2 linked regions of the Macaca mulatta genome follow. The main gene of each other region encodes a partner of the protein of the gene in region 2 in a complex. Links are inferred from orthologs where the notes say so. Each region holds a gene or a part of one and is shown on either strand. Other genes may lie near its edges.

Region 1 (3,868 bases), on a different chromosome or scaffold from region 2:
AACTATAATCATGACACTGTTCTCCAGGCCAGGTGACATAGTGAGATCCCATCTCAAATATAAAGAAACACATAAATAAAATGTTTGTCTTTGTGGATAAAGTATAAAATGCACTACACTAGGCTGGGCATGGTGGCTCACACCTATAATTCTAGCACTTTGGGAGGCTGAGGCAGGCAGATCACCTGAGGTGAGGAGTTCGAGACCAGCCCAGCCAACATAGCAAAACCCCATCTCTACTAAAAATACAAAATTTAACCAGGCACGGTGGCGCATGCCTGTAATCCCAGCTACTCAGGAGGCTGAGGCAGGAGGATCATTTGAATGTAGGAGATGGAGGTTGCAGTGAGCCAAGATTGAGCCACTGCACTCCCGTCTAGGCGACAGAGCCAGACTCTGTCTCAAAAAAAAAAAGTACTAAACTAGGGAATCAAAAAAGCAGTGGGAACTACAAACTTAAAAACAGTATCACTGGAAGACCTAGTAAAGGCAATCTCCCTAGGGGTTCATCTGATGGACCTTTTATGAGTTACTTCTGACCATGCTCTGAATGTAAATGATTAAAGTTAAGATGATGGTGTAACTGTAAGCCATTCTGTGCCCATTTCAGTTCTTAAAGTAATTTTTTGCCCTCCTTGTCATAATGCAGTACAGAAATAGACAATTTCTAGTGTAGGTACCTCAACCCCAACTGAACTTCTATTTTAACCCTGCTCTAAGATTCAGTGTCAAAACAATCTTGACAATACCTTACTATCTTAGTGATCCAGCATCAGGCCCAATTTCTCTTATGTTTTAAGTATATTCCTACCATTAGAGAATTTTGAGATGGCATGAGCATTATTGTTTTTTTAAATAATTATTTAAAATTTGAAAATATAGACACAGGGTCTCACCATGTTGCCCAGACTGGTCTGGAAGTACTGAGCTCAAGTGATCCACCTATCTCAGCCTCCCAAAGTGCTGGGATTACAGGTGTAAGCCACCACACCTAGCAGAGATGACATTGGCATTAATCGTGAGAAATGGGAGTGGGAGTAGGGGACACAGAGTGGAAGGGTAGAAAGAAGATATTTGGAACTGATTGGCTTTAATAAGTCCTGCCCCTTTTCATTTACTTCTTCCTTAAAAGCAAAACCAAAATGAGCTACTGAAGATTTATTTTTTCCTGGGATGGAAGTATTATCTGCCCCAACTTCCCTTTCCCATCAGAGACAGGTCCCTAAAACCGCGAAAGAGAGACTATATTCTCAAACAAAACATGCATTCAATTCAGGTGACTGTTTGATATTTTCATAACATTTTCTTTAACATTTAATAGAAACTATATACAATAAATTTGTACTATATTTTACATAAGATAGCAACCACAGAAATTTACATAGGTTAAAAGCAAGATGGATAAGGAGGACCCAGTCCTGTGGGCTGTTTTCTCAGAGGATAAAAGCCAGAGTTCACCACGGAAACAGGTTAAAGATTGCCCAATTAAGTAGAGGTGAAGAAAAGTTAAACTGCAGGTCTTTAGATAGAGATAACCAGATATTAGGGCCATCAGTATCTAAAAGACACTACTCACAAAGACAGCTCCCACCTAGCTACTTAAGTGGATTTCTATCCATGACTTTGGAAATCCCATTACAAAGATGTCACTTTCCTTTTAGGTATAGTACCAAATAATCCCAGAAGCTTTGATAGGGATTATCTCTCTTCCTTGCCCTGAGTGGGAAGAAACCCACAACTCTTAAGAAGTATTGGTCCATGTCCTCAAAATTTGGCTTTACTTTTGACTATAATACTCAATCCAGAAGAAAAACAAGATAGTCTGGGTTGCCTGTGTTTTGTGAGAGATGATCAGAAATATTTCTTTGAAGAATGAGAAATTTAAATCCACCAAAGTAAAATGGTTCCCCAAACTATCAACTAATAGAAGTGGGTTCTGGCTTCCCATTTGCAGTAGCCAATCCACTCTGAGACAATGGTGCAGAGGCTTTCTCAGAATTTCGAGATCCCTGGGATCTGCACCCATCTCCAGCCATCTGCATCTGGCCCTGTTAAAAGAAATAAAGGCACTTCAGTTAGAAATTCATTCACTGTGGTCTGAAGTATGAATCTGACTTATCAGTGGCCATTTATACTAGCAATAAGAAAAATACAACAGAAATTAATTAATTCTGGACAGATGCTCCTCCCTATATTAGCTATCCCTGTCCCTTGGAAGAGCCTACTCCTGAGCCTCTTCCAATGGGTTGGAGAGCTGTAGGTTGTTTCTTCCAAATGAAACAGCCATTCCCTGCTGAGGTCCCAGAACAGCCAACAGACCATAGGAAGACAGTCCTTTAGGCCTCTGCTTGAAACCAACAGCTACAGTACAACTGCTGGTTTTCAGTCAGGGCCACTGGAATTCTACCCAAGGTTCACAGACAGAACTCAAATCACACTACTTTACTGGTCATTCTATAATGAGAACAATTTCAGTGCTGAACTCTCCCTCAGAAGGTACAGTTTACCTAGATTCCTTATCTCAAGCTTTTATTTAAATAAATTTATGTCCTACTCTGGGATATGAGGATCAGGGGCCATTAGGTGTTCTAAGAGTCTATCTGGAGAACTACAGCAACAAGGGTATACAGGAGCAAAGTAGGGCATTTTTAAAAGTGCTTTGCTTATATGGTATTCAATGAGCGAGAGACATGTGGAGCGTCTTTATACTAGTGATGACACCCCACTCCCCTCCAGGAGTACATGCTATCCAGCAGGGAACCCTCTGCCTGGCCAGGTCTCTACATGCGGGAAACAGGTGGGATTGTTCTTCACTTGCCAAAATATCCACTGGGTCTTCAGCAATTTCTTTGACTAAATGATCTTCAAGGGTTAGTGAAGGATCAAAAAGCAAAGGTGAAGGAGGACACTGCATACCATCACCCACAACATCCAAGTCCTAGAAAACAAGAGAGAAAAGCCCATCAGCAATACCAAGGGAAACAATAATAAAGGTGGTATGTTTTTCAGCAAACTTTAAAGCAATACTCTGCTGTCTCCCTCAACCCTAGCCTACCTTTGATCAAAAAAAAATTTTACCAGAACGTCCAACAAATGAAACAAGATCCAAGAGCACTGAGAGCTTTTGCTGCCAAGTGTAAAACATAGACCAATATAGTGGATTAAAAAACACAATTCTGGCCACCACACCTGTAATCCCAGCACTTTGGGAGGCCGAGGTAGGCAGATCGCTTGAGCCCAGGAGTTCAAGACCAGCCTGGGCAACATGGTGAAATCCTGTCTCTACAAAAACTGCAAAAATCAGCCAGGCGCAGCAGCACACACCTGTAGTCCCAGCTACTCCAGAGGCTGCTGAGGTGGGAAGATCCCTTGAGCCCGGAACACAGTGGCTGCAGTGAGCCGAGATTGAGCCTCTGCACTCCAACCTGGGTGGCAGAGTCAGACCCTGTCTCGGAAAGAAAAAAAATGTCCAGGAAAATTCACAGAAACACGAAGTAGGAACGGAGAATAGTAGGGAACAGGGGAAAGGGAAAGGAGAGAGTTACTGTTTAAAAAATACAAAGTTTCTGTTTGGACTGATGAAAAAGTTCTGAAACAGAAAACATTGATAGCTGTATAACATGGTAAATGTTCGTACCACCACTGACTTGTACACTTAAAAATGGCCAGGTACAGTGGCTCATGCCTGTGATCCCAACACTTTGGGAAGCCGAAGTGGGAGGATCACTTGAGGCCAGGAATTCAAGACCAGCCTGGGTGATACAGCAAGACCCCATCTCTAGTTACCCACCTACATACACACATACATACATAGGTTAAAAGAGTAAAATTTTGTTATGTATGTTTTACTACAATTAAAAAAATATTT
Region 2 (4,852 bases):
TTTTTTTTTTTTTTTTTTTTTTTGGGCCGAGGTCTCTGTCACCCAGACTGGAGTGAGTGCAGTGGTGTGATCTTGGCTCACTGCAACCTCCGCCTCCCAGGCTCAGTTGATCCTCCCACCTCAGCCTCCCATGTGGCTGGGACCACAAGCTAATTTCCGTATTTTTGCACTATGTTGCCCACACTGTTGAATTTGTGGGCTCAAGCGTTCTGGCCACCTTGGCCTCCCAAAGTGCTGGGATTACAAGCCTGAGCCCTTGTGCCCAGTAATTTCTTTTTTTTTTTTTTTTGAGACAGAGTCTCACTCTGTTGCCCTGGCTGGAGTGCAGTGGCGCAGTCTCACTGCAAGCTCACCTTCTGGGTTCACACCATTCTCCTGCCTCAGTGTCCCGAGTAGCTGGGACTACAGGTGCCCGCCACCACGCCTGGCTAATTTTTTGTATTTTTAGTAGAGATGGAGTTTCACTGTTAGCCAGGATGGTCTTGATCTGACCTCGTGATCCGTCTGCCTCAGTTTAAGTAATCGTATGTAGCTTGTAACTACTGTATTGGACAGTATCTAGGCAATCATCTTGTTAGCCACTTCTCTCCATTTGTACTGTTCTCGTCCCTAAACAAGCTATCATGATTTCTGGCCTATCTCAGTCAACTGCAGTGGCTGCCTCGCTGGTCTTCTAATTCCACTCCTGAGCTGTAGCCTACTAAACAAAAATTGAAAGTGATTTTTTAAAAATATTAGTTTGAGGCCGGGCGTGGTGGCTCACGCCTGTAATCCTAGCACTTTGGGAGGCTGAGATGGGTAGATCACGAGGTCAGGAGATCGAGACCATCCTGGCAAACACGGTGAAACCCCGTCTCTATTAAAAATACAAAAAACTAGCCGAGCGAGGTGGCAGGTGCCTGTGGTCCCAGCTACTTGGTAGGCTGAGGCAGGAGAATTGCTTGAACATGGGAGGCGGAGCTTGCAGTGAGCCGAGATCGCGCCACTGCACTCCAGCCTGGTTGACAGAGCGAGACTCCGTCTCAAAAAAAAAAAAAAAAAAAAATTAGTTTGAGAGTCAAATCAACTTGCTTATGGAATATATTGTCCTTTTTTTTTTTTTTTTTTTGAGACTGGGTCTTGCTCTGTCACCCAGACTGGAGTGCAGTGACATGATCACAGCTGACTGTAGCCTCAACCTCCTGGGCTCAAGCAAGCCATCCTCCCACCTCAGCTTCCTGAGTGGCTGGGACTGCAGGCACACACCACCATGCCTGTCTAATTTTTGTGTTTGTTGTAGAGACGGGGTTTTGCCATGTTGCCAAATTGGTCTTGAACTCTTGGGCTTAAGCAGTCTTGCCTCAGCCTCCCAAAGTGCTGGGATTACAAGTATGAATCACTGTGCCTAGCTATATTTGTCATTTATTTATTTATTTTTTGAGACCAGCTCACTCCTGGGCTTAAGTGATCCTCCTGCTTCAGCCTTCCAAAGTGCTGGGATTACAGGTGTGAATTGCTGTGCCTGGCCGTATTTATTATTTATTTATTTATTTATTTATTTATTTATTTATTTATTTTTGAGACCAGGTCTTGCTCTGTCACCCAGGCTGGAGTGCAGTGATGCAATCATGGCTCACTGCAGCCTTGACTTCCCAGGTGCCAACAGTCCTCCCACCTTAGCCTCCTTAGTGCTGGGATCACAGGCATGTGCCACATGCCCAGCTAATTTTTGTATTTTTGGTAGAGACAGGGTTTCCTCATGTTGCCCAGGCTGGTCTTGAACTTCTGAGTTCAAGCGATCCACCTGCCTCGGCTTCACAAAGTGGTGGTATTACAGGTGTGAGCCACTGCACCTGGCCCATATTTATCTTTAAAAAAAAAAAAGATGTTTATCATTTTTTATATAGACTCATTGAAAAAATGACTTTGTGTTCTTCCAGTACATACCATCGTGTCTGAGAAGGCAGAGATCTAGACAAGTGTGGGAAAGATGACTTTGGATCAAAATTTTCTTGTGGATATAATGTGCTTATACATAATTTAAAGCTGACTGTATTAAAGATACATTTTTTGTCAACCAGATGATTGTTAAATACCTGTGAAGTATGTGTGGCCCGGTCCTATTTCCTCACCTGTTTACAGTGAATCAGATGTGCCAATAGATGTGGAGACGGTCATGTCAACGCCTATGCCACTCTATGACAATCAGAAGGCACGCAGCGTGATGAATGAGTGTGAACGGCATGTCATCTTTGCCAGGACTGATGCAGATGCCCCTCCTCCACCAGAGGACTGGGAGGAGCATGTCAACAGGTAGGCTGCTCATCAGGAGGATGGTCACTGCCCTGTAATTATTTCGTATCATCTTCATTGAAATAACACTTATTAGGACCTTATTTCATTTGCAGCAACACAAGTCAGAGTGTTCTCCAAAGTCTCACATTATAACTCTCAGTTCACCATGCTGTGTGTGAGCTTCTTGAGAGCAGGGCTTACATCTCAGCCATCTTTGCATACTTCACACTAGGACGTTGTCTGGCACACAGTAGGTATATAATGTTTGTTGGATAAATAAGTGAATTAAATTTGATAGATATGATTAGCTCTGTAGTAGCTTCTGTTGTTTAAGTTATGATATAGGGGTTACCCAAACTACAAAAAAATGAAATGTACATTTGTAAGGTATTGTGTTTAAATGGTTTATAACTAGGATGATGAAAGTTGTGAAGTCACATGAAAAGCTAACAGATGTTTGAGTGGCTTTTAAAAATAGATTTGCAGGCTATGGAGGGCACACTGAAGCCTGTTTTCATGAGTATATTGGCTAGTTTTGTTCCCAAGCTTTCTACTGCCCCAGGGGACTCAGTACTCCTCTCCTGGTCATTTGTCCCTGTTCATTTGGTAAACATTTACCTAATCACGTAATATCTTTTTGGGAATATTTATATGCCATACAATTCAGCTATTTAATGTGTACAGTCATTGGTTTTTAGTATAGTCAGAGTTGTATATTCATCACCACTATCAATTTGATAAACATTTTCATCATCCCAGAAAGAAACCTCATACCCATAAACAGTCACTCCCCATTTCCTCCTAGCTTCTCTGGTCTCTAGGAAGCACTAATTGACCTTTGTCTCTATAGATTTGCCTATTCTGAACATTTCATGTAAACGGAATCATGCAATATGTGGTCTTTTCCTACTGGCTTCTTTCACCCCGCATAATATTTTCAAGGTTCATCCATGTGGTTGTGTGTATCAGCACTTCATTCTTTTTATTGCCAAATGATATTACATTGTATGGATAGCCCACATTTTATTTATTAATCAGTTGATGGATATTTAGGTTATTTTCATTTTTTGGCAATTGTGAATAATGCTGTTATGAACATTTGCATACAAGTTTTTGTGTGGATCTAAGTTTTTAATTCTCTTAGCTATATACCTGGGAGTGGACTTGTTGGGTCATATGATACCTCTGTATTTAACCTTTGAGGAATTGCCAGACTGTTTTCCAAATTGGCTATACCATTTTACATTCCTACCAGCAGTGTATGAGGGTTCTAGTTTCTCCACATCCTTGACAACACTTACTGATTTTCTTCTTTTTAAAAAAAATTATAACCGTTCTACTGGGTATAAAGTGGGATCTCATTGTGGTTTCAACTTACATTTTGTTGATGGCTTTTTGTCTGTGTATCCATATATCTACTATATATAAGGAAATGTTACTTCTTATATCAGGAGTTGGTAGGTGGTAACTTTCCACAATTTCAGAGAACCCTTATTTTCTAATGTAGAGAGAGAAAGAGGGGTAGAAAGTTTGAGGTGATTGACATGATTACTGAAGCTGGTTGGAAGTTGGAAATGAGATTGAACAGGTGTGCTTGTGTGATCAAAACAGCAGCTGTTGAGGGAGGAGCAGTTCTGCACCTTGGTTGAAAAAAGCTTGTGAAGAACATGGTTGGGGTCTTGCATTGGAATTAATTTAGTGCCTTAAGAAGCTCTTTTCTCACACCTGTAATCCTAGCACTTTGGGAGGCTGAGGTGGGTGGATCACCTGAGGTCGGGAGTTCAAAACCAGCCTGACCAACATGGACGAACTCTGTCTCTGCTAAAAATACAAAAGTAGCCGGGTGTGGTGGCGCATCATGCCTGTAATTCCAGCTACTTGGGAGGCTGAGGCAGGAGAATTGCTTGAACCTGGGAGGCGGAGGTTGTGGTGAGCTGAGATCACGCCATTGCATTCCAGCCTGGGCAACAAGAGTGAAACACCGTCTCAAAAAAAAAAGAAACTCTTTTGAGCGTCAGATAAAGAAGAAAACTAAACTGCTATGAATGAAGATCAACTACTGGAATATTGTTAGAGTCAGTATATTCAGCAAAAGGATTTATCAGTTTTTACAGTTAAAAATAGAAATAACAACGATGGTAATAACAAAAAGGAGCCAGCATTTGTTGAGTGCTTTCTAGGTGCCAGACATTGTATCAGGCTCTTCAAATGCATTGTCTCTTAGTCCTCCCATCATCTCTGCTTGGAGGTATAACCCCCTTCATCTCTGCTTAACAGGATGAAGAAACTGAGCTCAGAGTGTTTAAGAAACCTTAATTAGGAAGTGATGGAGAAGGAGTTTGTTCAAACCAAGCAGTCTGACTCCAGAACCCAGTGTTCTCAACCACCATACCCTCTGCCTTAATTAAGGGCAGTAAGAAGAGATTAAGACCAGTTAGTGGTGGCTGAACAAGGTGGCCTCGTATGGTTATGTATCCCTTTGTGGTATTTTCCACTACCTTTTCCTTTGCAATTTTGCAAAGTACATAGGAGAACTGTGTGATTTTTTTTTTTTTTTTTGTCGTCATTTCATCCATGG

What was found. The genes of interacting proteins can lie anywhere in the genome.
Region 1: KANSL3 (region 2) and KANSL2 share a complex: the UniProt entries of both Homo sapiens proteins name them as parts of the NSL complex. The link is inferred for Macaca mulatta from reciprocal best matches to the Homo sapiens genes KANSL3 and KANSL2.

The regions. Positions count from the first base shown.
Region 1 is NC_133416.1:55,812,338-55,816,205, forward strand, and holds the end of KANSL2 (KAT8 regulatory NSL complex subunit 2), read right to left. Parts: intron 3,446-3,868; exon of another isoform or gene 3,325-3,445; intron 2,939-3,324; coding exon 2,819-2,938; intron 2,397-2,818; exon of another isoform or gene 2,260-2,396; intron 2,049-2,259; coding exon 1,917-2,048; 3' UTR 1,284-1,916; downstream 1-1,283. UniProt on the Homo sapiens protein: Non-catalytic component of the NSL histone acetyltransferase complex, a multiprotein complex that mediates histone H4 acetylation at 'Lys-5'- and 'Lys-8' (H4K5ac and H4K8ac) at transcription start sites and promotes transcription initiation.
Region 2 is NC_133418.1:5,283,517-5,288,368, reverse strand, and holds part of KANSL3 (KAT8 regulatory NSL complex subunit 3), read left to right. Parts: intron 1-2,060; exon of another isoform or gene 2,061-2,121; coding exon 2,122-2,292; intron 2,293-2,387; exon of another isoform or gene 2,388-2,528; intron 2,529-4,852. UniProt on the Homo sapiens protein: Non-catalytic component of the NSL histone acetyltransferase complex, a multiprotein complex that mediates histone H4 acetylation at 'Lys-5'- and 'Lys-8' (H4K5ac and H4K8ac) at transcription start sites and promotes transcription initiation.